4 linked regions of the Ovis aries genome follow. The protein of the gene in region 1 interacts with the protein of each later gene in a biochemical or structural test. Links are inferred from orthologs where the notes say so. Each region holds a gene or a part of one and is shown on either strand. Other genes may lie near its edges.

What was found. The genes of interacting proteins can lie anywhere in the genome.
Region 2: the proteins of SIN3A (region 1) and SMARCA4 form a complex in vitro, tested with the Homo sapiens proteins (2 studies listed by BioGRID). The link is inferred for Ovis aries from reciprocal best matches to the Homo sapiens genes SIN3A and SMARCA4.
Region 3: the proteins of SIN3A (region 1) and MECP2 form a complex in vitro, tested with the Homo sapiens proteins (2 studies listed by BioGRID). The link is inferred for Ovis aries from reciprocal best matches to the Homo sapiens genes SIN3A and MECP2.
Region 4: the proteins of SIN3A (region 1) and SMARCA2 form a complex in vitro, tested with the Homo sapiens proteins (2 studies listed by BioGRID). The link is inferred for Ovis aries from reciprocal best matches to the Homo sapiens genes SIN3A and SMARCA2.

What each region holds. Positions count from the first base shown.
Region 1 is NC_056071.1:31,075,521-31,082,710, forward strand, and holds part of SIN3A (paired amphipathic helix protein Sin3a), read left to right. Parts: intron 1-1,404; coding exon 1,405-1,523; intron 1,524-2,108; coding exon 2,109-2,319; intron 2,320-2,640; coding exon 2,641-2,757; intron 2,758-5,658; coding exon 5,659-5,897; intron 5,898-7,190. UniProt on the Homo sapiens protein: Acts as a transcriptional repressor. Corepressor for REST. Interacts with MXI1 to repress MYC responsive genes and antagonize MYC oncogenic activities. Also interacts with MXD1-MAX heterodimers to repress transcription by tethering SIN3A to DNA.
Region 2 is NC_056058.1:13,253,819-13,261,633, reverse strand, and holds the start of SMARCA4 (transcription activator BRG1), read right to left. Parts: upstream 4,796-7,815; 5' UTR 4,507-4,795; exon of another isoform or gene 4,435-4,506; intron 4,365-4,434; exon of another isoform or gene 4,310-4,364; intron 1-4,309. UniProt on the Homo sapiens protein: ATPase involved in transcriptional activation and repression of select genes by chromatin remodeling (alteration of DNA-nucleosome topology).
Region 3 is NC_056080.1:80,215,959-80,223,791, forward strand, and holds the start of MECP2 (methyl-CpG-binding protein 2), read left to right. Parts: upstream 1-3,038; 5' UTR 3,039-3,071; coding exon 3,072-3,133; intron 3,134-7,833. UniProt on the Homo sapiens protein: Chromosomal protein that binds to methylated DNA. It can bind specifically to a single methyl-CpG pair. It is not influenced by sequences flanking the methyl-CpGs.
Region 4 is NC_056055.1:70,272,447-70,280,298, forward strand, and holds the start of SMARCA2 (probable global transcription activator SNF2L2), read left to right. Parts: upstream 1-3,057; 5' UTR 3,058-3,181; exon of another isoform or gene 3,182-3,554; intron 3,555-4,900; exon of another isoform or gene 4,901-4,998; intron 4,999-5,182; exon of another isoform or gene 5,183-5,564; intron 5,565-7,852. UniProt on the Homo sapiens protein: ATPase involved in transcriptional activation and repression of select genes by chromatin remodeling (alteration of DNA-nucleosome topology).

The DNA of each region.
Region 1 (7,190 bases):
ATATTGGGTCATGGGAATTCTGATTTAACTGTATGTTGTCAGAGCTCCACAGGTGATTTTTTTTTAAGTTTTGGTTGCGCTGGGTCTTTGATGTCATGAGGGCTTTTCTTTGATTATGAGCAGGGGCTACTCTCTAGTTGTGATGCACAGGCTTCTCATTGCCGTGGCGTCTCTTATTTTGGAGCACTAGCCCCAGAATGCGTGGACTCAGCAGTTGTGGCCCAGAGGCTTAGTTTCTCTGAGGCGTGTGGGGTCTTCCCAGACTATGGATTGAACCATGTTTCCTGCACTGGCAGGCGGATTCTTTACCACTGAGCCAGCCACCAGGAAAGTCCTGCACCTCTGGGTTTTTGCAAAAGGGCAAATCACTTAGTATCTCCATGATTGGTGCCTCCTGAGTCCATGACTCTGATCTGAACCATTTCTGAGGGCTGCCTGGGCACTTGGTGCTTTTGAGGCAAATGTGAAAGTCCAGGTCACAGCCAACAGATGGCAAGGAAAGGGTGAGGGGAGGGGACTGAACAAGTTAATTTTAAAAATAGTGATGGTGTTTGTTGTTGTTTTCGAGGTACTTATTTCTTAGACATACTAAAAGAAAGTCCGGAGTTTGCTTGATAATTCAGGGAAATGATTAGTGTTTTGGGTTATTAAAATTCTCAGCACTGTGAAGAAAGGAGAAATGGAGAAAGGAAACAGATCAAGCCAGAGAACAAAAGTCGCTTATTTTAAAAGGTTATTAGTCAGGATTACCAGAGTTTGAAAAGAGTGTTGAAAAGATTCTGTAAACATCCGTTAGGCGAAGCAACCAAAGCTTGGGCAACACTCTTATGGTTCAGAGAATCAGGCTTGTGAGAAGTAAACGTCTTGTGTACTCCAGGACCTCTTTTTTCAGAACTTTTGTTACAGGCATTTTTAAGCATGTGAAATTAGAGAGAGTGGTGAGATGACAGCACGTGCACCCATCACCAGCCTCGGCGGGCCTCAGCTCCAGCTGCTGCGCCTGCTCCATGTGCACTCTCACCTACCCCGGGTTATTTGGAGACAAGTCTCGTATGATACAATATTGCACCCATGAGTACTAAGTTTTCTTTCTTTTTTTAATATTTGTTTGGCTGCATCTGGTCTTAGTTGTAGCACGTGGGATCTAGTTTGCTGATCAGGAATCGAACCTGGTCTTCCTTCATTTGGAGCACAGAGTCTTAGCCACTGGACCAACAAGGAAGTCCCTAAGTTTCCTTTTTAAATGACTCCTTTTTTCAAACATAAGCATTAACACATCTAAAAAAAACAAAATTGATTCTTAATATCATCAAATAACAGTTCAAGTTTCCCCAGTCTTTTAAAAGTGAGCCAGGATCTCTTGATTTCTCACTGAATTATTTTTCTTTCGGTTGTCTCCATAAGGTCCGAAAGGCTCTGCGGAGTGCAGAGGCCTATGAAAATTTCCTGCGCTGTCTTGTTATCTTTAACCAGGAGGTGATCTCTCGGGCGGAGCTTGTGCAGTTAGTCTCTCCATTCCTAGGGTAAGTGGAGTCAGGAGCTTGGCCCTGGTGTGTGATAAGGAAGTAAAATAAAACTTAGTTTGTGCAAGTAAATGATAGACAAAATTAATTTGATTGTGGTGGGTCAGTTGACTCATAAAATGTTAGTGCTAAGAGAGTCCTCTGTGAAGTCTTCTAGTTCAACTATGGAGATGAAAAGATTGGCAGAGGGCACATTGGCCAAGACTACTGGTCTCCTGATCCCCTGACCAATGTTGGATGTTTTATATAGACCAGTCTCTTCCAGGGTTCTAGAATCTTGACTTTGACAACCAAAGAATTATCTGAACTTTGAAACAATATTGTTGATTAGAAGAATGGCTGGTTATTGCCTTGTTTCAGTATAGTTCTTGCACCACCACCTTGACTGATCTTAGAGCACTCTGTAAGAAAAGGAGAAGCCAGGTATTCAAAAGCAGTACTTATTAGGCAAGAAGTAATAATTGTCACTGGAATTTGTCCAGTGATAGCAAAGTTCTGACTCTACATCAAATAGTGGTAGTCACACCTCAGCATTACTGCATAATACTTCTAATTGCTCACCAGTTTTTTGGTTTGATTCTTTAGGAAATTCCCAGAATTGTTTAATTGGTTTAAAAACTTTCTGGGCTATAAGGAGTCTGTACACCTGGAAACCTTTCCAAAGGAACGGGCCACAGAGGGCATTGCCATGGAGATAGATTATGCCTCTTGTAAACGGTTGGGCTCCAGCTATCGAGCTCTACCGAAGAGTTACCAGCAGCCCAAGTGTACGGGACGGACTCCTCTCTGTAAAGAGGTAAGGCCTTCCAGGGAAGGCATCAGCCCTGAGTCCTCAGCTTCCTCCAGAAGGAAGTGGTATGTGGGATGGAGAATTTATACGAATGAAGAAATCAAAATCCTTTCCTGTCTTTTTTCAAAAGAAAATGTTTTGTACTTATATTGAGAACTTTTTTCTATCTTTTTAAACTTGCTACACAGTTTCACTTGCTATGGGTGAAACTTGTAATGTTAACTGTTTCTTCCCTCCCCTAAAGTTTTGTCTTTTTTAATTGAGAAAGCTTAATCACCAGAAAATTTTGTTACACTTTTGTTTCAATCTCTCTTCTTTTACCCAAAGGTTTTAAATGATACCTGGGTTTCCTTCCCCTCCTGGTCTGAGGACTCCACCTTTGTTAGTTCCAAGAAAACTCAGTATGAAGAACATATCTATCGTTGTGAAGATGAACGTTTTGAGGTACAAGCTCCTTTATCATTTGAAGTTTGGGGAAATGAGAGATTCTGAAAGAGGATATCTTAAATACCTACCTGAGAGGACTGGCTTTTAAGACCAAAGAGCAAGAGGCTCATATTCTTCTGTGGTAAATGCTTCTTGTATTTACCATGTTTTGTGACTTTGTCAGGTATATTAGTAATATTTTCATAACAAATGTGACTTATCTAAAAGGCCACTTTAGCCCTTTTAACTGAAATTATCCGTTGATGGCTGAATAATACTCCTTTGAATTTTTAATGACATTTTAAAGGTTATTGTGTTGTACATAGTATTTAAAATCAGTAATTTAAGACCTAGTGGAAAACTTTCTGGAAGCTGTTTTAAATTGCTTATCTTAAAGTGTTTTTTATTTTTAGCAGGTATCTTACTAACATGGTTAGCAAACTAGCTCTCCTGTGAGAAATGAAACTCTTCTGTCATATTTCTGATGTTGATTTGTCTCCTTTTGAAAGGAAGTTGAGTTAGGGACTTCATTTTAAAGTAGTTGGGAAGGAAAGAGCTGGAGTGAAGAAATGAGCTGGTCCAGAGCCCTGATACCAGGAGTGGGAGTACTGGAAACAGACTCAGTTCCCAGTGTGTTTAAATGTCTGGCTCACCGATATCAACAAAAAGGGAATGTTAAATGTGTCTAGAGAGAGAAAATTACATGCCTCCTTTTTAATGTGTTTATTATATAAAACTGACTGTCCCTGCTCTTCCTATGGGTGGGAGATGTTTTGCTCCTTTTTTAACCCATACTGATTTAGCTCTGTGCCAGTTATTCCCCTTCACACTTGCTTCCCCTGTTTCTGGCGTGTTTTGAATGAAGAACCACATGTTGGTTGGTCCGCTGGGCCCGTGTTTATGAGGAACTTTGACCATTTGCAGAAAACTCAGTCATGACAGATATTAAGTTCTGTGTAAAGTTTTATCAAGCTGAAGAAAGCATTTCTTTCTTTTTTTTTTTTTAACCTATGTTTAGTCAGTTTCAGTGATGGGTTAGCAGAGATTGACGCCTGTTTTTGACAGGATATTCTTATTCTCAACTAGTATCCCTGCACAGGAGAGGCATCAGCCTCATTTCCTGCTTGTTATTGCAGTAGTGAAGATGAAAGAAATGTGTGTATGTATGCACATGTACATGCTGAGGATTGGATGGGATAGACTAATTTGAATCCTTTATGCATCAGGATTGGTTAATATTCCTGTAATATAGTCAACCCCTAAATCCCAGTGACTTGAAAACGACGGATTTATTTCCTTATCATACTGCATGTGCATTGATGTTCAGCTGAAGATTCCACTCATCAGAATTGCTTGGGGACCTGGGCTGTCAGAGTGGCACCATCATGAACAGTATCCATGACTGTAGGAGAAAAGCTCAGATGGATCTTGCACCCTTAAATGCGCTAGCCTAGAAGTAATAGATGTTACTTTGACTCACCTGTTAACAGCTCATAGGTCAGAGCTAGTTACACGGCCCTACAACCCACTCCAGTACTCTTGCCTGGAAAAATCCCATGGACGGAGGAGCCTGGTAGGCTGCAGTCCCTGGGGTCTCGAAGAGTTGGACACGACCAAGTTATTTCACTTTCACGCATTGGAGAAGGAAATGGCAGTTTTCTGAACTCCAGTGTTCTTGCCTGGAGAATCCCAGGGACGGGGGAGCCTGGTGGGCTGCCCTCTCTGGGGTCACACAGAGTCGGACACAACTGAAGTGACTTAGCAGCAGCAGCTAATCTCAAGGCAGCCAGGAAGTCCAAGCCATCGTTTATCCATAACTGGGGAAAGGGGGCATTAAAATTTTTGACAAAATGACTACCATAGTCCTCAAACTAGAAAATTAGGAAACACTTATACAGAGTCATGGACTCTTGAGACTGCTTATTTCCTTTATTTTCTGTTTCTCATCTGGAAAATTTTGTGTTAAGCTTTGGAAAAAAGTTAATTCAAGGTTGCTAGTCATGTCTTTAACCAGGTTAGGCTTGGCCCTTGCCAGAAAATAAAGTGTCAGAAATATTCAGTGAAAATTTAAATGGTTACTCACAAATACAACATTGAAGCCCTTAAGTAATGCTCTTATTGTTAGTAGATGTGCAAAAAGACATTAAACATTTAAACATCTCAAGTTACTCTGAAAAACTTTACTCATGAGATTGATTTAATATCTTGAATGATCTTTTTGGGATTTGGTGGTAGTGGTTGTTATTGTCTGTAACAGATCTGAGTAATTCACAAAAGTTCAGGGGAAAGTGTCAGTAAGGTTGCCTCCTCCTAGGTCCCTCTGGCATGGGGGCCGGTCATCCTCAATAAACCACATTGGTGGCGCTAGAAGTATCAACTACTGCTTTGTTGTTGTTCCGTTGCTAAGACGACCTTGTGACCCTGTGGTCTGGAGCACATCAGGCTTCCCTGTCCTTCACTCATCTCCCTGAATTTGCTCAGATTCATGTCCGTTGAGCTGGTGATGCCATCCAACCATCTCATTCTCTTGTCACCCCCTTTCTCCTCCTGCTCTCAATGTTTCCCAGCATCAGAGTCTTTTCCAGTGAGTCAGCTGTTCGCATTAAGTGGCCGAAATTTTAGAGCTTCAGCTTCATCATCAGTCCTTTCAGTGAATATTCAGGGTTTGGATGTTTGCTGTGTGCCTGGTATTGTGCTAAATCCTTTATGTGGGTTGTATTGTTAAATCCAGAACCCAACCTTGTGAGAGTAGGTGGTGGTATTCCTGTCTTACTGATAAGCTAACAGTTTTATATGGCTATGGTATGGCAGAGCCCAGATTCAAATCCAGGGAGTTTGACTTCTACCTTCTACTCCTGACAGCTATTCTGTTCTGATTTGGGTCCTGAGCACACTGTCTTTTTTTTTTTTTTTCAATAGCTTGATGTAGTTTTAGAGACCAATCTGGCAACTATCCGGGTTCTGGAAGCAATACAGAAGAAACTTTCCCGCTTGTCTGCCGAAGAACAAGCTAAATTTCGCTTGGACAACACCCTCGGGGGCACATCGGAAGTCATCCACCGAAAAGCACTCCAAAGGATATATGCTGACAAAGCAGCTGACATCATTGATGGTCTGAGGAAGAACCCTTCCATTGCTGTCCCAATTGTCCTTAAAAGGTACCTGAGTGCATACGCCCTTCATGCTTTAGTGCACTTCTCAACAGATTTAGTGTCCCATTAAATAAGATTCTCCTTTTCAGCCCAGTTTTTCCCTGAGACCTCCATTTCTCTCCAACCGCGGCTGTAGGAAGTCAGGTGGATAGTGTGGGATAGTGGAACTTCTTGATGGGGTTCTGTGTCACCAACAGCAGAGAACAAGCCTTTCCAGTCCATACTGGAATGCTCTGTGTGTTTAGGGGGATATTTTAAAATAGAGAACAAAGAAGAAAACAGCCACCCACCTTCCTGCCACTTAGTACTAACCGATGTTCACATCTTTTGTTTTTTAATAAGAAAAATCACTTTGTCTTTATGAAATTGATATGTTACTTAAAAAGCCTTAGCGTCCCATAAAAATTCAAGAATGTCTTCTTTCTTCTAACCAACCTTCGAACCAAGTATAGAGGGGCTGTTGAACCCACCTAAAATAAGGCTGTAGGTATCGAGGAGGCCAGGGCTGAGCCCCAGGCTCCTCGAAGTCCATGGCGCTCCTAAAAATCTGGTCCTGTATCACCACTGGAAAAACTTATCCACTGCACAGTCACACGTGCCCAGATTTTCTTGTTCCTCCCCAGTCTTCCTCTCAAGAGCTGGCAGAAGGTGTTTGCCTTCTTGCCAGTAGTGTTTAACTTTTGTCTTCGAGGTGGAGGATATCCTTCAGTTCTAGTGCTGGTTTTGATTTTTCTCTCCTCTCTTCCAGAGGCTCAGTCAGTTGTTTTTGCTGGAACTTCCAGGCTCTGTCTAGAGGAGCATCCATTGTTGCTCAAGTTCTCTGCTCTTGGACATTCGCATTTGCATTAGCATAATGACAATTCTCAGAAGTCCTGTAGCAGGGAAACTTGTTTCACTTTGTTTTAGCTGGCCAAAGAAGAGAGTCTACTTTTCTAGGGTATTCTGTGGAATGTTGGTTGAGAAATAACTGTTCTCTGCAAGATTTCTGACTTTGGGATAAATTACTTCCCCATAGTAAGTCCCGAATGAGTAGTTTTCTCGTGTATCAGAGTTCAAGACTAGCTTGAATAAATTTATTCCAGAGTTGCCAACAGATTTGACAGATCTGCTGTACCTGTTGACCTTTGAAATAAAGTAAACCTGACATATTTCTTACTTCTAAACCCTGTGGGATGAGGTGCTGTTATCCTCTTTTTACGGATAAGGAGGCAGTCTTACGTGGCTAATATGGCAGAGTGAGGATTCCAGTCTACAAGTGTAATATGACTCCTTGCCTTAAAATTCCCTCCTCTGAACTCT
Region 2 (7,815 bases), on another chromosome or scaffold:
CACGGTACCAGGTGAGGCAGCAACTGCCACACAGCCACCTGCTTCCTGAACCAGCGAGGCGCAACTCGCCAGTGAAAGGAGAACTTACCCCACCCCAGGGAGCCATTTTAAAGCCCATCCTCTCTTTTTTAAATTGCAGTCTAGTTGACTGACCATGTGTTAGCTTCACGTGTACAACACAGTGATATTTGTACATAACCCTTTTCAGATTCTTTTCCCCTACAGGCTATGCCAAAATACTGAGTACAATCCCCCGGGCTCTGGAGCAGGTCCTCACTGGGAAAGCCTTTCCTCTTTATCACACTCTAGGAGCTGGCAGACTTCACAGTGAGCGAAACTCAAGACTGCTCCCGGGTTACAAGTGTCCACACACAAAAATGAATACATGGCCCTTAGGCAAAGTAACGGAGCCCCAAAACCAAGCTCTGGAAACCAGTCTTGGCTTTCAGGAAGGGGCCAGGACAACAAAGCCCATTCCCTGAGGGGAACTGACTACAACCCTTCCCTTCCCTCTGCTGTGGGAAACGGAATCCCCCAAGAAACCCAGCTTTGCCTGGAGGCAGCTCCAGGCCCCTTCCCACTCAGGAAGATGAGCAGAGGCCCACTTTCTCATGCCCATCAAATCCATATCCTGAAAAACTTCCCCAATGGCTCAGCAAGGAAAGAATCTGCCTGCAATTCAGGAGACACAGGAGATGGGGGTTCGATCCCTGGGTTGGAAAGATCCCCTGGAGTAGGAAATGGCAACCTACTCCAGTATTCTTGCCTGGGAAATTCCATGGACAGAGGCGCCTGGCAGGCTATAGTCTATGGGGGTCACAAAGAGCTGGACACAACTGATGACTAAGCACACAAGAGCAAACACGAAGATATCACTGATCACACCCATGAGCTTCCTGCTTCTTAGGGATGACACCTGGAAGATAAGAGTTCACATGATCTCAACTCAGTTCTCACAGATTCACCCTCAGACCTCTCCCCTCACCAATATTCGAGTGCTGTTACTTCCCTTTTAGAGTAGGTTTTGTGCATTCTTTTAAAAAAAAAAAACTCTGATTCTCCAGTGTTCCAATCCAGTTACGAGGAGATATGTGAAAGGGAAAACGAACTTTTACATTTTTCAAAATCCAAGCCACCTAACACACTTCCCTCTTTCCAGTGCCGTATGGTGAAACTGCAAAGCACAGCATTTTTAAATTATTAAGGACAGAATGGAGGCACCAATTCCTTTCCTACCACTTCGAAAACATATGGAACTACTGCAATGGGGCAAAAATCTATTCTGTATCTTAACCCGCTAGGATGTTGTTGGGATCCTAATAAATAACAACAGTGACAAACTGTCTACTCGTGTGTGTCAGGCTCTTTCCTAAGCACTTAACATTGGTCATCCATCATTTTGCTGTTGTTTGGTCCTTGCAACAATCGTAGAAGTTGGGTACTATTACTGGACCAGCCCTCTTCGCAAGTAAGGAGATGGGCACGAGTGAATGAGGACAGGGTCCTTGTCTGCCTGTTCCTGGCTGAGCCCCCAGCCCCCAACAGCACCAGGTTCACAGCAGGTGCATGCCTGTTCCCTATGTGAACGGGGAATGCAGGGGTGGGCCACTTCCCGCACAACTCCAGGGGGCGCCATGGGCGTTGTGCTCTGTCTAGGGTCAATCTGAATGCCCTCCGAGCCACGGCAGCCCTGATGAGCCGGCCAAAACCAGTCGCCATGTCTGAGGACTCACCCCATGTCTTGGAGGCACCAAAAGGGAAACTGGCCAACCCAGGAGTCAGACTTGGATGTTCAACCCCAGAGGCCCTGGTGAAATATGCCTGGACCTCAGTTTCTTCACTGGCAGAACGTTCTCAAGGGATATTCACCCAATACACAGAGTCCCTCCCACTCTCCCACATCAGATAAACAGTGGGGACGGAGAGCTGGTCTACGGTTACCTCCCAATGTTTTGAGGACCCACAAGAGAGGCAAAGGTGTATAAATAAATTATGTGTTTTAAAAAAATAAATACGTGTTTATGTTGGAGTGCTTTTCACTGACAGGAAGTCTGGAACCACTGCACTGCCCTGCACCAAAGCTATGATGAGGTCACCCCACGATGAACACCCCCCCAAAAAACACCTGCAAAATCAACATCTCCTGAAGGGCTGGCGTGTGCGCTCAATCACGTCCGACTCTGTGACCCCATGGACTATAGCCCACCAGGCTCCTCTGTCAATGGGATTCTCCAAGCAAGAACACTGGAGTGGGCTGCCAAGCCCTCCTCCAGGTCCCGAATCCATGTCTCCTAGGTCTCTTGCATTGGCAGGGGGATTCTTTACCACTGCGCCACCTGGGAAGCCCCCTGAAGGGTTGGGCACAAATGATTTCAAGTGGCATGAGGAGGAACACTTATTATTTTCATAATCGTATATGTATTGAGTTTAAAGAAAATTAGGAAAATGTATATAACCAGCACATCAAACCTGGGGTTTCTGGGATACAGAATGACTCATGTTTTCAGTTTTCTGAACAGTTAATTTACAAATACATACGTATGAACAAAACCACCTCCGAAAAATTGAGAGCTCATTACATGCCAGACTCTAGAGAGTGTTAAACCACTTCCCATACTATCTTTCCAACCCTCACAACAATTCTTTGAGCTGGCACCACTGTCTTATCTGTTTCTCAAGTTGGGGGACCTACTGGTAAGTGTCCTGCTTGAGGTCAAACTAGAATTTAGAGCTGACTGTGAATCCAGGAGGTCTAATTCCAGAACTAGCACTCCATAACACCACCTCCTATTAACTACTACCCCACACCCTTACTGTTGAGGGAATGAGGTTTGGGGAAAATGGCCTGGAAAGCTTTAGAAAAAAATTAAAAAAGAAAGCAAAACACAGCGCCAGCAACTAATATTTATTGTCTGCAACTCGCCCTCAAGTCCTGGGCCAAGCACTTCACACACAGGGCTACTCAATCCTCAAGAGTACCCTCCTCCTTCATCCACAAATGTTCCCTAAGGGCCTACTACACACTGGGCCAGGGTACACTAAAAGAGATTACACAGACAGCTCTGATGGCCCTTGGAGAAGAGATGTGTAATTACAAACAGGAGTAACTCCTAACACAAGAAAGGATCAAGATGACCATGTGCAAAAGCAGCAGAGGGGAGCAATGACTGGTCCCAAGTGGTCCAACACAACCTGGGGGTCCTCCCTAACCCTGAGTAAAAGCCCCCTCTTCCATGCAGCTACCTGATCTCTGGTTCCCACCACTGGCACCAATCTGCTGTGCTCCTCACACATGACAGGCCTCTAGTTGTTCCCACACTTACCACCTGTTCCCCTACAAGACTGAACAGGCTGCTCTGGGCACCCAACCTCCAACTACCAAACACCCAGCTGGGGCTCAACAAGTATGTGTTGAACAAGAATGGAAGAGACTGGACTGAACAACAACGATAGTGCTTCCCTCTTGACAGGAACCATTTTACAGGCTTTCACCGGCTCCATCTGTGCCATTATTCTCATTTCACATATGAGGACACTGAGAAGTTCCAAAAGATTAAGCTATTTGCCTCCTGTCACACAGCGAAGTGACCAGCAACAGCCAGGAGTCAAACTTGAATCAGGCCTGTCATTTAAAAGTGAAAACTTGTTTCAAATTCTTAGGAAGTGGCTCTCACTGCTTATTCCCTACTTTCCCCAATGATTCACTAGGGGGGGAAAATATCAAGACTAGTGTCTTCAAGACCTTCACAAAATACCTTCTCCTGAAAGATTCGCGTTTTAAATAAAAACCTTAATCTGGAAAATCGATTGGCAGAAAGGGGTAAGGACGCAAAACTAAAACAATGCTTTTAACGGCAAACAGTTCTCTCCGTCCTTCCCCACTGCTGCCGACCCCCGGCTTCAGGGCAAACGTTCTCAAGTCACTACTTGCAAGGGGTTAGCAGAGTTATTTACCTTTCCTTGAAAATCTAAAACGACGTGACTTTTAAAAAAATAACCATTCAGGTCGGCTAACCCAGGGGGGCTGCTAATGTTCGTGTCCGGGCGACGCTGGACACACCTGGGGTTTTTCCTACTGAGCTCCGACTGCAGGCTCGCCAAAAGGCAACATTCGAGTCGGACCCGTTAGAACGTAACCAGAAAAGCCCGGACGTCTGGCTATTGTTGCAGCCCCGGCGGACACCGGGATGTGGGCCCCTGGACCGCCGACGGGGCAACGCGCTTTGTCCAGCGACCCCGGCGAGAGCGCGCGCGGGGGGCGCGCGGCCTCCACGCGGCCCTGGCCCCCACCCCGCCGTCCCGCGGATACTGTAGTCGCCGAGGCCTCGCTGCCTGTGGCCTTCCCCGCGCGCGCGGTGCCGGTCAGGCTTCTTGACCCTCGGGCGCCGCCGTACCCCGGCCCGGCTCCGGGCGCCGGCGGCCCCCTCCCCCCTCGGCGCCCCGGCTCCATTCAAACCGTCCTCCCAAGCCCCGCGCCGCGCTCCCCCCGCGACCCACGTTCCTTACCGGGAGTCGCCGGCGCCGTCGCCTTCCCGGCGCCGCCCCCGCCCCTCCACGCGGGGCCGGGGGCAGAATGGGCTTCTCGCTTCTCCTCACGAAACAAAGAAGCAGCCGCCGCAGCCGCCGAGCGAGGGTAAGCCTCGCGCGCGCGCCCGCCTGCCTCAGCCGCCCCCCCACGCTGCCCGCGCCCCCGCTGCGCGCGCACTCGCCACCTCCCCTCCCCCCACCACGAACTCCCACTCGCTTCCGCTGCTGGCCCGTCCTCGTGCGCGTGCCCGCCCGCCCTTCCGCTCCTAGGGCGCGTGCGCGTCTCGCCGGGGTTGTCTGGGAGAGGTGGGTGGGGCCAGAGAGAGCTAGAGCGCCCGACGCGCCTCCCGACTCTGTGTGGGACGGTCATGCGCCTGCGCGCGGTGGTCTCCGTTCCCGCACGCCGCGCGTCTCAAAGCCGCCGAGCATGCGCAGAGCAGGCGGCACTGCGGCGGTGGTGGAGGTGGAGGTGGCAGCGGGAGGTTGGGGGATGGGGTGGGTGGTGGAGAGGTCTGCGGGGAAAGCGTGGCCGAGGGCCCCTGAGACTCAGAAGTGAGGCTTCCAAGGTCGTGCATGAAGGCAGGAGGCGGACAGGCTGGGGCCGGGGATGAGCAGAGCCGGCCCCTGGGCCAAGTGCAGGTCGATGTTCGGATGATGGCGGTGCCCGTTCGGCAAAGCCTGTTACGCAAAGACCGTGGCTATCTTTTCCGCACAACTTACCTAGGGCTATTAGTTTAGCAGATAATCTATTGACCTGCCCCACACTGAGGTACTGTAGTACCGAAGAGAAATCTCAGCCTCTGTGGCGCTCATGGTTTAGTGGGAGAGGCAGGCGCGAGGCAAGAAAACTTAAGTAAAATACACTGTGTTGAAATGGACACGTGAAGGGTCGGGGAAGTTTTAAATGGGGCAGCTAGGGAAAGCCTCTCTGCGAAGACATTTGAGTCAAGACATAAAAGCAGTGAGAGAGAGAGAGCTTTGTTCCAAGTGTGAAGGCCCAGAGACTAGGAGGCTTCATCTCTTAAATTTTGAGAGTATCTCTTGAGTCTGTATTCGTTGTTTCTAGCCCCACAACTGGACAAACGGTTCCCAGGGCCAAGTCCTGGAGCCTGTGACTCCCTACCCCTGCTTCTCTCAGGCCTTCCCCCTCATTTTTCAGGTCTCAGCTGACTCATCACCTCCCCTGGCCTTGCCCCCTCTTTGATCACCACCTCCTTTTCTTTCACATTTCTTGGGTAACCCCTTTAGTATCTGTCTCCCTAACCTCAATTTAAGTGGCGCAGTGTTGTCAATTTTAGTCCCTAGTGAAGAATACCCAATATCTAGTGTGGGGCCACCCTCTGCAACACACTAGACACCTTAAAAATATTCTTTTTTAATTGAAAATATATTAGCTTCTATGGAGTGTGTATCACCAGCACTTTGGGCCTTTCCAAGCCCAAGGTGAGGCCCTTAGAGCATAAAGCAGCAGCTAATATCTTGGCCTGAAGCCAAAAAGACCTGCGTTGAAAACCTGACTCTCCTTAGTACCTGGGGGATGCCAGGCAAGTTTACAGAAGTTTACACTTCTGTTTCTTCACCTGTAAAGTGAAAACAGTGACACCACTCATCTCCACAGGGTTGGTTATGAGGCATCCATGAAAACAGGCCATGGAGAAGCTCTCGGTGACTTAGCTTGTGACGTTGGGTAATGGACAGGAAATGGGCAAGTGAGGTCTAGACTTCGGCCTGTCTCATTCATTCAAGCAATATTTCTAAAGTGCCTTCAACATCTTAAACGCTGAGCAGAAGACTTCCCTGGTGATCAAGTGGTTAAGAATCCGCCTTGCACAAAAGATAATACAACATTGTAAAGCAATTATCCTCCAATTAAAAATAAATTTAAAAAAAGAAAAAATCTGCCTTGCAATGCAGGGGACGCAGGCAGGTTTGATCCCTGGTTGGGCAAATAAGATCCCACATGCTGCAGAGCAAACAACCCCAAGAGCCACAACTAAAGATTCCGTGCCCTGCAACAAAAGATCTTGCATGCTGCAACTAAGACCTGACCCAGCCAAAATACCCAGAAGCGCTGAGCTGGTCTTAGTCGTGCGGTGATGCACTGAGCAGGCAGGGTTCTGGCCCTTGGAGCAAACAGTCCATGAGTTCAGCTAACGATCTCCCCCACCAATCACACTAGTAATACTTGACAGGAAAATCTAAGTGCATTGGAAGAAAAGCCCCGGGGTTGGTGAGATCATAATATGGGGTCTTCCTGGGAATGAGAAGTCAGATCAAACTCTCCATATGCCAAGACCCAAAGGAGGAGTGCACTCAGCGGAGGAAACAGGATGTGCAGAGACCCTGAAGAAGGAAAGGAGCGTGGGAACAGAGGACAGCTCTTGTGGCTCTGGGGGGAGGTCTGCAGTAGCCAGGGAGGGCAGGGCTTTGTTGGCAATTCTTAATATTCTTCACACCTGGCACATTCCTGCCCCAGGGCCTTTGCGCATGTGCATCTGACCCCTGCATAGCTGTGTCTCCCAGAGAATCTCTGTAATGTTACAGATGCAACATCCTACATCCCCAGGTGACTTTTCTCCATTGCACTCACCCTGCACGCTGGAACATAAGCTTTGTGTCTGTCTTCAGCACCTAGCACAGCGCCTAGTGACTGGTGCATGGAAAAGAGGCTGAAGGAGCACTCTCCGGTGGCCCACGCTGCCTCTCACAAAATCAGAGTTTATGGGATGCTTGTTGAGACCTCAGTATCACACCCGTGGCATCTCAAATGCCACTAGGGAGATGCCTAGCGTGAAGTCAGAGCTTTAGGCTCCAACCCTCATCTCCTGTGTCCAGGACTCGGTCAGTCTTCCCGTATGCTGCCTATTACAATGATAGCTGCCCCTCCCACCTTCCCCAGTGGGCAGGACAGGGCCAGATAGGGGCATGAGGAAGCTGTGCTGTGCAAGGATGCAAAGAGGAGTGTAGCAGTCCAGATGTTTGCAGCATCACTCCCCACACGGCAACAATACAATTCCCAGTTGGTCTTAGCAGTCTCAGAGTCTGCATTCACATCTACACCCTCTGGTATCTGTGGCTCTATTAGCTAGGAGCTTCCCACGTGGCTCACAGGATGTGTCAGAGTTCTCTAGAGACACAGAATCAATAGGATGTTGGATATACATATACATTCACACATGCTCAGTCACTCAGTCATGTCTGACTCTGCGACCCCATGGACTGTAGCTCACCAGGCTCCTCTGTGCATGGGATTCTCCAGGCAAAAATACTGGAGTGGGTTGTCATTTC
Region 3 (7,833 bases), on another chromosome or scaffold:
ATTCGATCTCTGGTTCCTCTGCCTTTTCTAAATCTAGCTTGAACATCTCAAAGTTCTCAGTTCATGTACTGTTCAAGCCCAGCTTGAAGGATTTTGAGCACTACCTTGCTAGCATGTGAAATGAGTGCAATTTTGTGGTAGTTTGAACATTCTTTGGGATGGCCTTTCTTTGGGATTGGAATGAAAACTGACCTTTTCCAGTCCTGTGGCCACTGCTGAGTGTTCCAAATTTGAGTACAGCACTTTCACAGCATCATCTTTTACGATTTGAAATAGCTCAGCTGGAGTTCCATCACCTCCACTAGCTTTGTTTGTAGTAATGCTTCCTAAGGGCCACTTGACTTTACATTCCAGTATGTCTGACTCTAGGTGAGTGACCACACCATCGTGGTTATCTGAGTCATTCAGACCTTTTCTGTACAGTTCTGTGTATTCTTGCCACTTGTTCTTAATCTCTTCTGCTTCTGTTAAGTCCTTACCATTTCTGTTCTTTATTGTGCCCATCTTTGCATGAAATAGTCCTTTTGTATCTCCAATTTTCTTGAAGAAATTTCTAGTCTTTTTCGTTCTGTTGTTTTCCTTTATTTTGTTGCAGTATTCACTTAAGAAGGCTTTCTTATCTCTCCTTGCTGTTCTTTGGAACTCTGCATTCAGTTGGGTATATCTTTCCCTTTCTCCTTTGCTTTTTGCTTCTCTTCCTTTCTTAGCTGTCTGTAAGACCTCCTCAGACAACCATTTTGCCTTCTTGTATTTTTTTGGGGGGGATGATTTTGGTCACTGCCTCCATACAATGTTATAAACCTCCATCCATAGTTTTTCAGGCACTCTGTCTATCAGATCTAATCTCTTGAATCTATTTGTCACTTCCACTGTATAATCATAAGGGATTTAATTTAGATCATACCTGAATGGCCTATTGTTTTTCCCTACTTTTTTCAAGGTAAATCTGAATTTTGCAATAAGGAGCTCATGATCTGAGCCACGGTCAGCTCCAGGTCTTGTTTTTGCTGACTGTATCGAGCTTCTCCATCTTTGGCTGCAAAGAATATAATCAATCTGATTTCAGCGAAAGTAAAATCCAATGCTGTGAAGAATATTGCATAAGAACCTGGAGTGTTAGGTCCATTTATCAAAGTAAATTGGGTGTGGTCAAACAGGAGATGGCAAGTGTGAATATCAACATTTTAGGAATCAGTGAACTGAAATGGACCAGAATGGGTGAAGTTAATTCAGTTGACCATTATATCTACTACTGTGGGCAAGAATCCCTTAAAAGGAATGGAGCAGCCCTCACAGTCAACAAAAGAGTTAGAAATGCAATCTCAAAAACAACATAATGATCTCTGTTTGCTTCCAAGGCAAACCACTCAACATCACAGTAATCCAAGTCTGTTCCCCAACCACTAATGCTGAAGAAGCTGAAGTCAATTGGTTCTATGATCTACAAGACCTTCTAAAACTAATATCAGAGAAAGATGTCCTTTTCATCATAGGGGATTGGGATGCAAAAGTAGGTCAAGAGATACATGGAGTAACAGGCAATTTTCACCTTGGAGTACAAAATGAAGCAGGGCAAAGGCTAACTGAGTTTTGCCAGGAGAAGACACTGGTCATAGATAACCCTATGGGGGAACAAAATGAGAGCAAAAGCCGGTGGACATCTAAATAGCACCCCTTTCACTGTTGCTTTATCTACCTCAAATTCTTATCACTATGTGACATTTTATTTTATACTTTTTGTATGTTCACTCTGAATCTTCCCCTACAAGAATGTTAAGTACTTATTCAGTACTCTGCATCCAGAGCCTGGAACAGTGCCTGGTACATAACAGGGATTTAATAAATGAATGGGGGTGGGGTAGGGAATCACATCAGAATCAGACGGTTCCTTCTTAACTGAAGAAGTAGCAAAAAGAGCATTGGATGGATTGGATGATAGCTGGAATCAGAGTAAAGTCGCCTTGACAGACAGTACTATCCTGAACACTCCATTAGCTAAAGTGAAGTGAAATGAGTCACTCAGTCGTGTCTGACTCTTTGAGACCCCATCTAGGCCAGAATACTTGGAGTGGGGTAGCCTTTCCCTTCTCCAGGGGATCTTTTCAACCCCAGGATGCAACCCAGGTCTCCCGCCTTGCAGGTGGATATTAACCAGCTGAGCCACAAGGGAAGCCCTCACTAGCTAAAACTTTTTCCATACTCTTAAATATTTTTCTATACCAGCATTATTGGATCTTAAGTCCCAAATCACCTCTTCCGGGCCGAGCGCTTATTTCTTTGTGTTTCCACTGCCCCCTCTTCCCACTCACCCCAAACCATCTCATCCAACCATGACAGGTTTCGTGCAAGCCTTGGCATGCACCCTCTTGCCCCACCAGAGCTGCAAGAAGGTGAAGGCTACAATTCGTTGTTCAGTTATTTCCCTGCCCCTCTGAGAGTGTGGCATACGGTAGGCTCAAATGAAAGAATGCCTTCGGTAGGCCTCGTAAACCCAAGGTTCTTGTCTGGAACAATGTCAGGCAACTTTGCTGCTTCTACTGAATGTGGTGATACTGAGAAAATGCGGGTGTTGCGGGAGGCTTATAGCAATGTACTTTGTGTGTTTGCGGACAGCAGGTCAAGGGCCCGGGATGGTCGCGCAAACAGGCGTCCGGAACCTAGGCCTTCCCTTGCCCCAGCATCCGCAAAGGCCTATTAATCCTTAATATTCAAATTCCGCCCACTAAACCATCCCCTCGGCGCCCAAGCCGCCTCTTTTCCCCAAATGACGGCCGTTGGCAGCCAATCGGCAGCTAGACGGGGCGTCCGCCCCCTTTTCCCTCGCCGGAACGGACACCGAGTCCCGCCAATTGGGGGCGTCGCCACCGAGGCCCCGCCCCACCCCGGCCAACACATCCAATGGCGCGCCAGCTCGCTGAAGCATCGGGGGCGGGGCGCAGGCGCGCAGGTGCAGCTGTGCGCAAGCCGGTCGGGAGGGCGGGGCGCGACGTCGGCCGTGCGGGGTCTCGGCGTCGGCGGCGCGCGCGCTCCCTCCTCTCAGAGAGAGGGCTGTGGTAAAAGCCGTCCGGAAAATGGCCGCCGCCGCCGCTGCCGCGCCGAGCGGAGGAGGAGGAGGAGGCGAGGAGGAGAGACTGTGAGTGGGACCGCCGCGGCCGCGGGCGGGGACCCTTGCTGGGGGGCGGGGGGTAGGGGCGGGACGTGGCGCGGGAGGGGCCCGCGGGGTCGGGCGACACGGCTGGCGGATGGCGTCCCTCCTCTCTACCCTCCCCCTCCCGCTGGTGACGGCACCCCCCCCCCCGCGGCGGCCCGTTACCCGCACTTGCGGGTGACCGTCTTCGGCGCGGCCTCCTCAGGCTGCCTTTGCCTGCTTCCCCCCACCCTCCCGCCTTCGGCGCGCATCCCGGCCCCCCGGCCCCGCGGGCACCCCTGTCGCCGGGGCTTCGCCTGTCGGGGCTGCGCGCGCGTCGTGCCCTTCGCGGGGCTTCGGGCCCGCGGCGCCGTCGCGCGCCCGCGCCCCCGGCCTCTCCCTGGCTCGCGCTTTCCCGTCTCCCTCCCTCGCGCGCCCCTCTCCCGTTACTCGGCCCCCCCCACTGGCGCGCGTGCGCAGTTCTCCTCCCGTCGGGAGAGTGCGCCACAAGGGCTCCTGGGCAGTCGCCCCCATCTCCAGGCTTTGCCTCCCCCTCCTTCTCGCCCATTCCATGACTTTCTGCCCCCCCACCGTCCCCGCCGCGAGCGAGTTCCTTTCGCATCTAGCAAGAACAAGTAGGTGGGAATTATTGTCCACCCACAAAAGGCACTAGACATTGTGTTCTTGGCCCCAGAGCTCATCAGAAAGAGGCGGTGATAGTTGCCATCAGGAGCCGTGGGGAGGGGACGGGGTGTCCGGCAGCACCCGTAGCGCTTCGATGGGAGCACGCTCCCAGGGCGTTTGCGGGGGGGGGGGGCATGGCCTCAGAATACGAGCGCCCTCCCATCCTTCCCCCCCGCCCGCCCCGCTTCGCCGGCGATCTTCCAGTTACATAAGTGGAGTGGGACTCAGTCTGTGACGGGCTTCCATAGTCCCGGAGCGCGCCCGGCTCAAGATCACCAGTACCAGATGGGGCAAGTTCACCGCATCGCCGGGGTGCCCATCGCTTGGTCCCTGAAAGTTTATTTTCTTTCTAGTTTGCTTCTGAGTCACCCATACTGAAACTCAGGTGACTGATTAGTGGTGTGGCAATGTTTTTTGTGGTTTTGCACTGAAGACTTAAGGTCATGGTGAAGAGTTTAAAAGATTGCTTTCACAGAGGAGACCGTTCATGGCCTTGCTAAGTGTGGATTCCAAGGGCGGGGAAGGCTGGCTGTGGAATACACCTCTGTGGCCGTCGCTTCTACTGTGAGTGTGTTCGGTGTGGATTGGTCACAGCCGAAATGGGCTCCACCACAAAATTGATATTCCTGACTCATGGTCAGGCAGATGTGTGCTTCTCGTTTTTCAGGAACAGGAACGGGCTGCAAAGCCATTCAGAGTTGTGTCTCTGTTGTGCCGATCAGTGCCCCAAATTGTGAGATGGTAGCATAGAATTCTGTGGGTGGTTGGTGATCACAGAACCGAACCTACTGGCCTGTGAGGCTGAGTGGCTTAAGACTTGAGGACTCTGGCAAATTTTAGGCATTTTGTTACATTACAAAAATGAAGCATATATCGGCCTTGGTAGCAAAAATCATTATTAACAGGCAGTTGCTATCCAGGAGAAATTTGGGTTCCACCGTCAGAATTTTCATCTGCATCTGAACGATTTCAACTAAGAATGCCATTAACCTCTTGGGTCCTTTGAAATATGCTGAATCTTTATGTTTTTTTAAAATCTGGTTTTTAGTTTTAGGTCTTTTGGGAATTTCCACTAGGGATTTAGGGAAATAGATTTATTTATGGGCTTTGAAGGACTTCTAAATCCTAGTCCTGGAACCTAGGAAAAAATTTGCTTTCATTTTTTACCCGGACGTATCAGAACCTTAAAGGGCACAATCAGTCACAGAGGTGTAGAGTTGATTGAATAAGTTGCCACAGAACACCCATTCGTGGCATGTCAGCGAGGGGGCTGATCACTGAGGTGCATTCCTGTCTGCACACACAGATACACAAGCCTCACTTAACGAAGATTCCAAGGTTTGTACATCTGAGCCTCAGATGTGACCGGCAAGGGCTCTGTTTCGTTTCCCATCATTGTCAGTGCGTTAGCCGCCTCGGGTGCCCTTCCAGTGAGCTGTTCCATCATACCCCTATCCCACAGCCTCCAGAATATAGTTTGTCTGCAAAGTACCTGGTGGCATCTGAAGTCATGGTGTCCTAACAGCTTGAGGAAACTCTCTATGGCTTTCTTGCCAGTACACACCATACTCATTTGCCTGGAATACAAATTTGCCTGGAATGCTTGCAACCTAGAATCCCAGGTCTTTGTTTCACCTGACAGAGCATGATGCAGTCCAACCATACTCCAACTTTTGTGCTGCTTATGTTGCAAGAGGGTTCGAGTACTGTTTTGCATTTTATTTGCGATTTCCAGCCACAGCCCTTGTTTGCTGGCTGGCCCTGCCTCTTTGTGGCTGAATCTAGTGGGATGGGGAGGCACGCTGTGAAATTTGACAGAAGAATTGGCTAGAGGAGTCCAATATGATGATATCTTCCTCCTGAATACCCCTTCCCCCAAGTGGAGACGGAATGAGAACCTTGCTTCTTGAACCTAGAATAAAGAAGAGCCGATGGAAAAGTGTTAGTTCCTTCCTGGAGGGCGGTTTCCACTGTTAATATACCTGCCCGGGATTATTTACATGATAAATGATGTCTCCTGGAACCCGTGATCTTTTGTAAAGGTGAATATCAGTGAAAATCTTTTAACTGGCTAAGAGCAGTTTGTGGCCAGCTTGCCCGAGTTATCTATGAGAAGAATATTATAGAAAGGATTTGACTTTTGCAGTAACTAGTGTTTCAAGCACAGAGGGGGTAAAACATAGTCCTAGACTGGTGGTTCCAGGGAGCGTGGCAGACACCTGTTTGTTTTCCCCACCCTTTGTTGGTGATGCGCACGCAGACCAGCCTTGTGTGGCTGGCAGACAACCATTTTTTCTTGGGTAGAGCATTATTACTGCTCCAGTTGGAGGACCTTGTTCTCAGTGCTTCTGTACCAGTGCCTTCCAGTGAAACTGTCATTGTCACCACTGTGCCTTTACCTCAGTTTGGGTAGGATGGATGTAAAGTCTCTTTTCCTTGGACTCACTGACACAAAAGTTGTGCTCTTCTGCATTTACCTGGTCTCTTCTGCCTTTCTTTGGCATGGAGCCCCTTCCTGTTGAAAGCTTGCTTTGTACACCTTTGCTTAAAATATTTGGTTCTACCTCTTTGATGGTAGGTATGGTGTCGGGGGGGGGGGGAACAGAGTGAGAGCAGGGCATGGCCACTCCCATATTTAAGAGGCGTTGTGACCATTCTGTTAGAGTAAAGCCTTGGCCTTTTTCACTTCTTCAAGGCACAGTTAACGTTGGTTCTGCTGGTGTGTGAATGTCTTGAGCATAGCTGTTTTGTTATACTGCAGAAGTCTGGACTCTCGGGATCAAGCCTTAGAAAGGCTTCGGTGCGTAAGAGCTGGGGGCACTCTATATACATATATATAGACCTGCAATTCACTGCTGTATTGGGTCTTCACCTAAGTGCTCTCATTTGCTGGCTCTTTTTTTTTCTCCACGAAATCTTGAGTTATCAGAGATCTTAAATTCAGAGCTCGAAGGAACCTTAGTTTAGGTCCCTCAGTTTACAAATAAAAATGCAATTTACCAAGGGAAAAAAAAAGGCAACTGTGAAAAGTTGTGGCTCTTCTAGGGCCTCCCGGCCAGGATGCCGGTTTGATTTTTATTATATAGCTAATTGAGTAATAGCTCAGCTGGTAAAGAATCCACCTGCAGTGCGGGAGACCCTGGTTCGATCCCTCGGTCAGGAAGATCCCCTGGAGAAGGGATAGGCTACCCACTCCAGTATTCACGGGCTTCCGTGGTGGCTCAGATGGTAAAGAATCAGCCTGCAATGTGGGACACCTGGGTTTGATCTCTGGGTTGGGAAGATCCCCTGAAGGAGGGCGTGGCAACCCACTCCAGTGTTCTTTACTGGAGAATCTTCATGGACAGAAGAGCCCAGGAGGCTACAGTCCATGGGGTTGCAAACAGTCGGACACGACAGAGCAACTAAGCCCAGCAAACCTGAGTAATACTGTGACTTTGACTTCTGAGATTTTAGAGCGTTCTATGACTCGACTGTTTAAGGGAATTCTGAGGCCTCACTGCACCTCAATAGATAATTCCAGATACCATCCTGGTAGTTCCAGACCAGCAGTAAAAGACTTGGTTGGTGCTGCACTTCTGAGTTTGATTACATGAGTAATTGTGTGAATAGTCTCTTGTGTGAATAGTCTCTTAAGTTGTACATGCTAGGCTTTTTTTAGTCTAAAGATAAAAGTGCAACTCTTGGGCCGGCAAGATATCAGCAATTAGCTAATATGAGGCGGTTGAGGTTTTAAGAAGGAAGTGATGGTTGTCTTGATGAAAAGTATAGTGGCGGAAGACCTTCTTTGAACATGTGTTCAAAGGCAAAAGAGAAAGTATCACACTGTTAACTCAGTTTATTGAACATTTTACTGATCAGAGGCCTAAAAGTGAATGCTCAAAAACAGTCTTGTGTATGTCTGAGGATGGCTTAGGATCTCCCGGGGTACTTGGTTTCTGTTGGTTCCGTCTGTTTTTTTTCCTCTCCTGGCTAAAGCCTTTTTATATGATGTCACATCAGCTTGTTGCAACTTCAGCTGC
Region 4 (7,852 bases), on another chromosome or scaffold:
TTACTTGCTCCTGTTTGAAGCTAGACCACATTTCAGCCAGCATGAATAGTTTGCTGGATGAAACTTGAAGCTTCCTGACTTTGTGCATATATATATATATATAGAGAGAGAGAGAGGGTGCTGTAGGTAGATGTCAATTTTCAAACCCAGTGTCTACTCTATGCAGGATGTCAACCATGGCCGACTTACATAACAAGTGAATGTAGCCATACAGACATGAAAAAAATGACATCTCTTCCTTGATGTCAAACTAGAAAGAGAAAAGCAAGTTCAGAGAAGACATTATGACTCATCAAAGTCCAAAAGGAAAAGCTTTGTGTGAACCTAGCATCCTGTGCAGCCTCCCGGAGTCCTTCTAGCCGCCAACCCTATTTGCTTTTGTGTGATTTTCTGCAAAACAAAACAATCCCATCATTTTCCTCCTTAATATCAGTTGTTAAATTTTACCTTCCTTTGGAGATGAAATTCACGCTATATGTTCTACAATCTTCTTTTCATGCTGACTGAAAGGTGCTGCCTTTTCATTTCTCCTGAGTGTAGGCCTTATTTTATAAAATTCCTACTTGCTGCAGTGCAAGCTACAAACAAGACAATTCTTCAGAGTAAAGACTTGAAGGGTGAAGGTGGTGCTTTCTTAGACCAATGTGAAGGGAAAGGGAGATGCAATATCTATATTTAATCTCTGCTCCCAGTGACAGATTTTATTTTTCCATCCCCATCATTGTGCATGTAATGCACAGATACCAATCCCGCCAAGTACTGCATCAAAATTTTACATGAACTGAAGAATATACACATGTAACAAAAGGAGTATTGTTTTAGTCTTTACTTTCCATCTGACAAAACACCAGAAGGAATGACCAGTCTCTTCCGCTAGTATCTCACTAAAATGATTGTTCTCTCTTTCAAATTTGGGATAGCAGGTGAAAATGAATTCTTAAAAGGGATAAAGGGCACTTACTCACAAGGGAATTCAGATGAAGTCATCAATTTCTAAAAATTGGCATATAAGGTTGGCATGCCAGGGAAATGGGTCACCGCCCCCCTTCCAGCCCAAATTAAAACCTTATATTACCTAATGTATTAAGCATCACCATTGGGTTAAAGCCCTTTTATAGACAACTAGGTTATCTGGCTATATTATTAGCTGAAATTTATTAGGCAATTGAAAGTTCTGCTTTTACTACATTGCTAGTTTTGTTTAAGATTTCTCACCTAGTTAATAGTTATACTGGCATAACCTCAGGCAGAAAAACAAGTTCTTACAATAGATTCTTCAGGGCATAATATATTCTACTTCTTTTATATGTGTTATCTTTTGTTGTCTTGAGTTTCACTTTGGGATAGATAGAAAATTATGAAGCTCAGGTTAACAAGCAAGTAGCAAAGCCTTAGAAAACTACAAGGTAGGTGATCCTTGACACTCCCAGCCACCTGAAAACGGTGCCCTTGAGGATTCTTCCTCCACCAGCAATGGGCCAACAACATAAACAATTCTTGCCATTTAATGACCCCGTGCAGCATGCTGCAGCAGTGTTTGTTCCACAGCTTCATGCCTTCAACTTATCCACTGCACAATTTTAAGCGCCCTAGAACTGTATTTCAGACCCAGTTGCCCAAATAGAGCCAATTTCGCAACAGTAAAATGGTGTTAAAATAGGATTTTACTCTAGGGGGGAGAAATCTTGAACCAAATAGTCACAGTGCACTTTGCATGAGTAATTTAAACTGTTACATTACAAAATAAGGGCTATGTCATACTTTTAATAACACTACCATATAGGAACAGTTTTAATGTTGAGTCAAGCACCTACATTCATCTAAGTCTAAAATAATAGGCCCCTGATTTAAAATCTCCTAACATTCTTTCACACTTCATAAAATAAAATAAAATTCTCTCAGCAAACGCTGACCTATTCATCCAGCCAAAGTACTGTATTTCAAGGAAAATAGGAAGGAGAGGTCTCAAACCCACCGAGCGCCAGCAGTTTGCTGTCTGCAACCGTAACTGGTCTTAAATGTGGGCTGGGGGTGAAGAGACGTCAGACGGGAGAGAATAAGAGATTTATTACCTATCTTAAATCAAAAGCAGATTCCATGCTTTAACTACCCCCTATCGCCCGCCCGCCCCCAAGAGGTTGTTTTCCTTTGTTTTTTGGTATATATCTCACGGGAAGATGATAGGTGAGGGAAGGTCAAAGTGCTGTGTCTGGTCCACAGAGTCAACACAGGGGTTAGGGCGGGTTTGTTTATTTATAAAGCGTTCAGCCTCTCAGCTGTTTTTCCCTCATTGGCATTTGGAAGCTTGCAGTCCTTTAGAAAAGAGACAGATTTGGCAGGAATGTTCTTTGTGCCCTCCTTCCTTTTTACGGGGGAGAAAAGGAACAGATTGATAATTACAGCCTTGGGTGGGGGGCGGGGTGGGGGAGAAAAAGTTTCCGGCAGCACGTCGATGCCTGTTTTTTTTTTTTTTTTCATGGTCAACACTGTGCTACAAACAGCTTGGGTGCCACTTGGAGCCTTCCCCCCTTCCCCTCCCTTTACCTCCGCAGGCTCGCTCTGGCAGGCAGAGGCACAGTTAAATTCCAGCACCTTCTTCCCATACCCCTAAACTACTACACGCTATTACTACGGCTGCCCTCCCTTTCACTTAGCCTCCTCCGCTTCCCAGCCTCCCACGAGGAGGCCGGCAGGGGCCCCGGAAGACTGCCGGGGAAGGATAACGGGCGTCCAACTCCCTCCATCAGGGCTTGGGGCTTTCCGCGTCCTGCGCAGTTTTTCTGCTCCAGGCACAAACACGGCCAGGGAGCCGGCGCCTTGCAGACACACACAGATCCACGCATACTGTAGAGCTGTCTCGATCCACATTCTTGCATACCGCCCCCTCCTCCCTCCCAGAGCTCCGGGAGTCGCCGAGCGGGGCGAGTGACAGGCGCTTCCCGCCAACCCGCGCCCGGGCGGGCAGGGAGGAGCGGCGCTCTGGACCAACTGCGGCGCGTCTTCCGGCGCCCGCGGAGGCGGTGAGGGTGGGACGCGGGGCGGAGCCGGAGTTTAGGAAGAGGAGGGGATGGCTGTCATCAATGAAGTCATATTCATAATCTAGTCCTCTCTCCCTCTGTTTCTGTACTCTGGGTGACTCAGAGAGGGAAGAGATTCAGCCAGCACACTCCTCGCGAGCAAGGTAAATATAACTTACAACTCCTTTTTCCTCTTTCCCCTCCCTCCGGCCTCCGGGCTGCAGCCGCTGCACAAACCCCTCCGGCACCGCGCCGCCTTCGCCGGGGATTATTCATTATTAACCTAATTATTATTTATTGTGCATGCACGGAGACCAAAACAAACAGGCGGGCCAACCGCCGCAGCAACAACAAAAAAAGCCCGCCTCCTACCCCGCGGGCCTCAGGTGGAATGCTCTTAACGACAGCTCCCGGGCAGCAGTGGAAGAAACGCGAAAGTTTCAACCGAAGCTTGCTGTTCTAATAATAATAGTAATAATTACTACTTCAAGGATGCAAGGGGAGGAAAATCCCAACAAACCACAGCCTTGACCTTAGGTAGGCAATCAGCGATGCGCTGCCAACGGAAGGTTGCAACACACACACACACTCGGCAAGGTTGCAATCCCCTCATTCCCTTAAAAACTGGGGTTGGGGGGAGGAGGTGGCAGGAGGATCGGGAAGAGTATGGAAACGCTAAGGTTCTACTAGAGCAGTCCTCCCGGGAAGAGTTGGAAGGGGAGCGGGAGGAGAGGGCGAGGAGCCCGGGCTGACGGCTGGGCGCCAACGAACGCGGCTGCCACCAGCTTCCCTGGGACTTGTTTAAAGGGCTCCGGCTGCGGAGACAGGAGCTGGTCGCGATGGGAGAAGCCGGAGCTGGCTCGCCGAGGCAGTGGCAGCCACCGCCGCGGGGCCGCTGCGTGCGGGATCGGAGGTGTCACCTCCACTTTGCGAGCAGGGATGGGTACGCTGACCGGTAGGCAGGCCTTTAGGCAAAGGGGCTGCCGGGGGTCTGCACCCGGGGCACTGCGGACGACCCTGCCCCTGGTACCTGGTGGCCGCGCGGGCTCGGGTGTTGAAGTTCGGGGTGTCCAGCCGCGACCACACTGCTGGGAGGGAGGAAAGGAGGGAGGAGGTCCTGAAGAAGGAGGTCGGAGGTGCTCATTGGGCTGTTATCCTGCCCTCCGCCTTCTCGGGTTTGTTTTCTTTTGGTCTGCATCTTCCCCTAGCTTGGGCTGCCGGAACCTCGGGCGTGGGTCGCCGGCGATCATCCGGATGCTAGGGGAGCACCCGGGCCCAGGAGAGCCACGGTGGCTGCGGGCCGGGGAGGCCATGATCCGGATAATCCTCTCTGCCTGACTGTCACAAACAGGACCCGCGCGCACCCTGTGCAGTGGTGTTCGCTGTAGAAGGGAAGGGCTGGCGCGGGGTAGGGGGTGGGGGGGGGGGGGGGAGGCTGGTGAGGGCAGAAGGCGGGGAGACCGGGAGGGAGCCTGCCCCCAGAGATGACACGCACCGCTTCCTTCTTGTTCCCTGCTTTCGAGTTTGCTTTATTCCCATCCCAACCTGGTTTACTCCCTCCTCTGCTTCCCCCTCCATCTCGCCGTGTTCCCTCCTCCCGGTTGCGTTGCAAAACACGGCCATGCCATCTGCAAAGGTGTCGCGATGCACTTCCCCAAATAACCAGTCCGGCGCGCCAGCCCCTAGTCACCCTCTGTCTGCGGGCGCACACCAAGTGGGGCGCCCTGGGTCCCCTGCACCAGGCCTCGCAGCCTGGGCGCAGTTGCACCGCGCGGGGCGGGGCGCAGCAGTAAGGGCTCCAGGGGGACAACCGCTCCTGGGTCCCGACACTCGGACCGGTTTCCGGCACACGCGGGGAAATTGCCTCCCGCCAGTGTCTGCGCACTCGCCCCCGCCTCCACCGCCTGGATTGCATTATTATTTTTATCCTGGTTGCAGTTTGCAGCCGATCCTGGTGAGCCCGGGGCTGGCCGGACTGCTGGTAGGGGGGGTGGTGGGGGTGGCGGGTGGAGGGAAGTTGGACGTGGATCAGGCAGGAAAAAAAAAAGTTTGGCAGGGAGACTAAGGAAGGAGGGAGGGTGGGAGGGGGCGGCGAGCTCCCGCAGCTCGCGTCTCGGCGCCCTCGGGGCCGGCGCGAGTGTGTCTGCGCGTGAGTGTGAGTGTGTGTTGTGCGCTGGGGCCGGTGCGTCGCGAGCAGCGGCGCGGGCAGCTGCTCCTGCTCGTGCCCTGCCCGGGAGCCGCGGGAGGACAAGGCGAGGTTTGGTGGTGGAGGAGTGGTGGGGGTGGCGTGTGCGTGTGGCTGTGAGTGTGCGCGCGCGAGCAGCGGAGAATCAGGAAGTCACAGCAGCGAAGCGCACACAGACATGTTTGATCGCCGTGACATGACGCGCGCGAGGGAGGAAGCGGCAGCGGCTGCGGGGGCCGGGCCGCGGGCTCCAGCGCCGGCCTAGGGCTTGGGCGGGGAGACCCGCTCCCGCCGCTGGCAGGGCCGCCACAGCAGGCTAGGCTAGGCTAGCCCCGCGCCTCTTTTTGTTCCGTGTCCCCCAGGTAAGGAGCCTGAGCCTCCGCCGCCTGCCGGGTGCGGAGCTTTCCAGTTCTTTCCCTCCCGGCCCCCTCCGGTCTCCGGGTCAGGCTTTCTTGCAAAGTCAGGAGGGCGGGAGAAGCCGGCTCCCGGCCCTCCGATCGATCGCGTGGAAAACTTTCCAGCGGGAGGCACCGCGAGGGGAAGAAGGCCTTGCTGGCTGCTGTCCCTTGTCAGTTCTTTCTCCTCCGGGTCCGGAGAGTGGAGTCGCTCTGCCCCGGGGCTGTTGCACATTCAAACTTCAGGCCTTAAACGTGCCTCCAGCTTTTGCCGGATTTACTCCAGAAATTAAATATTCGAAGTCGTCTGCTTGGTCCTGCCAGGCGTTTGGGTTTTTGAAGAGCAGAAGGCAGGCATGGGAGTCGAGGGGGATGGGGGTGTTGTGCAGAATCCATTCCTTCCTTAATGTCTGCAGCGGGTGTTATGTAATTTTAGTAGCACACGGGTGCAAAGCCCATACTGGGCTTCTCCCCTCCTTTGTTTATATAACTTTTGGGAGAGTTTTGCAAGGTCCCCCTCTCCCCTTCCTTTTCTTCTTTCCGTTCTCAACCTAATGGAGCTTGGTGCATTTGAAAAAGTAAAGCGACCTGGGTCAGTATATTATTGAGAGGTGCTATCCTTAATCTCCTGGTTATTATGCAGACTGTGTTCCTAACTGTGTGTGATGTTAGGGCATAAGGAAGACATCTGTATCATCAGTAGCAGAGTTAAAATTTCAACTTCCATTTCAAAGGACTTTTTAATTTACACCTGGATGTGCTGTGCTTGTTGGAAGAGAATGCTTGTAGGCACAGAAAGATTGTTGTTTTCATTACTGAATGGAAGAAAATTTCTATCTAAGCGTGTTAAGTAAGACTCAGAAACCTCTGAGAACTGTACTGAAACAAAAGCCATGCCCAGTGTTAGTTGTGTGTATATACTTAACACTTGCACATTCAAATGTTTCAGTATTATCTTATTTGCAGGACCACTGCCCCAGGCTTGTTTGCCTATAATAGCTATGCTAGGCTTCTAGCTTACCTCTAGCTTCCTGGTGAATTGTTAAGAGGTGTGGCAGAGGTTTGAATCCAAGTTGGTGAATTGTTATGCAGATAAAACACCTTTTTCTCTTTTAGGAATCTAATTGTCCTTTTATTCTCCTAGACAATTTTTTTTTTTTTTAAAGCTTCCTAACAACTTGAGTGTTTGTTGGTGGGAAGAGATTTGGAGATACCATTAGGTATCAAAGATATTTATGGATGTGACTTGAAGTAGAAAAGCAAACCTGTACACAGCCACTCCTCTACCTTGTCGGGGGCATTAAAGAGAAAAGTCAGGTGAAGAATATTGTAAAATAAATCAGAGGAGTTTGGGGTATCTGAACCCTTAAAAAATTGGCAGAGGTGAGAGGGTGCCTCCTTCCATGAAGCTTTTTTCTCCTGAGTGACATCAGTTACATCCCAATTCAGGGACTAGCTGCTCTGTGGGGTTTCACAGAAAATATTCACCACCAGAGTGTGTTCAAAGCAGCCTTAGATCTTTTCTTTTGTTCATTTTTTTAAAGTGGTTTTTGAGCATTTCTCGTCAAGTTTCTTAAAAAGTGCTTTGACCAACACCTGAGGCTTGGAATTGACCAAAAAAACCCAAAAATGCCTCTGCTTCTGTTATACTGTTAATGTTTGGATTCTGTTTAAAATATTTCTGGCATTATAACTAGAAAGCAACGCTTTGGCAAAGAGATAATTATTTAAAACTTTTTTCTTTGATGAAGTTTAAGATAACATAAAAACACATTTCATGCTTTTCTCAGAGATCATTGTGGTACCCTTTATATTCCGGTAATATTTTGACATTTCATTTTAAGGGCTTATTATGTATTGAAACAAGTCCATGAAAGAGAAGACTTTCATATATTATAAAAGTGGTGCCATCCTCCAGTGTTTTCATGTTGAGTTGGTTTTTTTTTTTTCCCCCTTTAGAAGTCTTCCTTTGTAAACAAGGCCTTTGTCAAACTCTCCTAGGTCAGCAGCTTTTTGATACTCCCGAGAAATAATAAATCAGTGTTTATGACATCTTGACATGGTGCCATGAGAACTGAATTGTCACAAATATAATGCTAAGGAGTGTTTCCCTACACCAGCGTATTGAGATTGGTCAGACCTGATTTAGTCACCAAAAGTTTTGATTTTCACTGTTTCTGGGCAGGATGATTTTAGAGAAGTCAGGGACAATTTGTTGCTTAACACGAGTGGCCTTAGAAACTTTATATAAATGA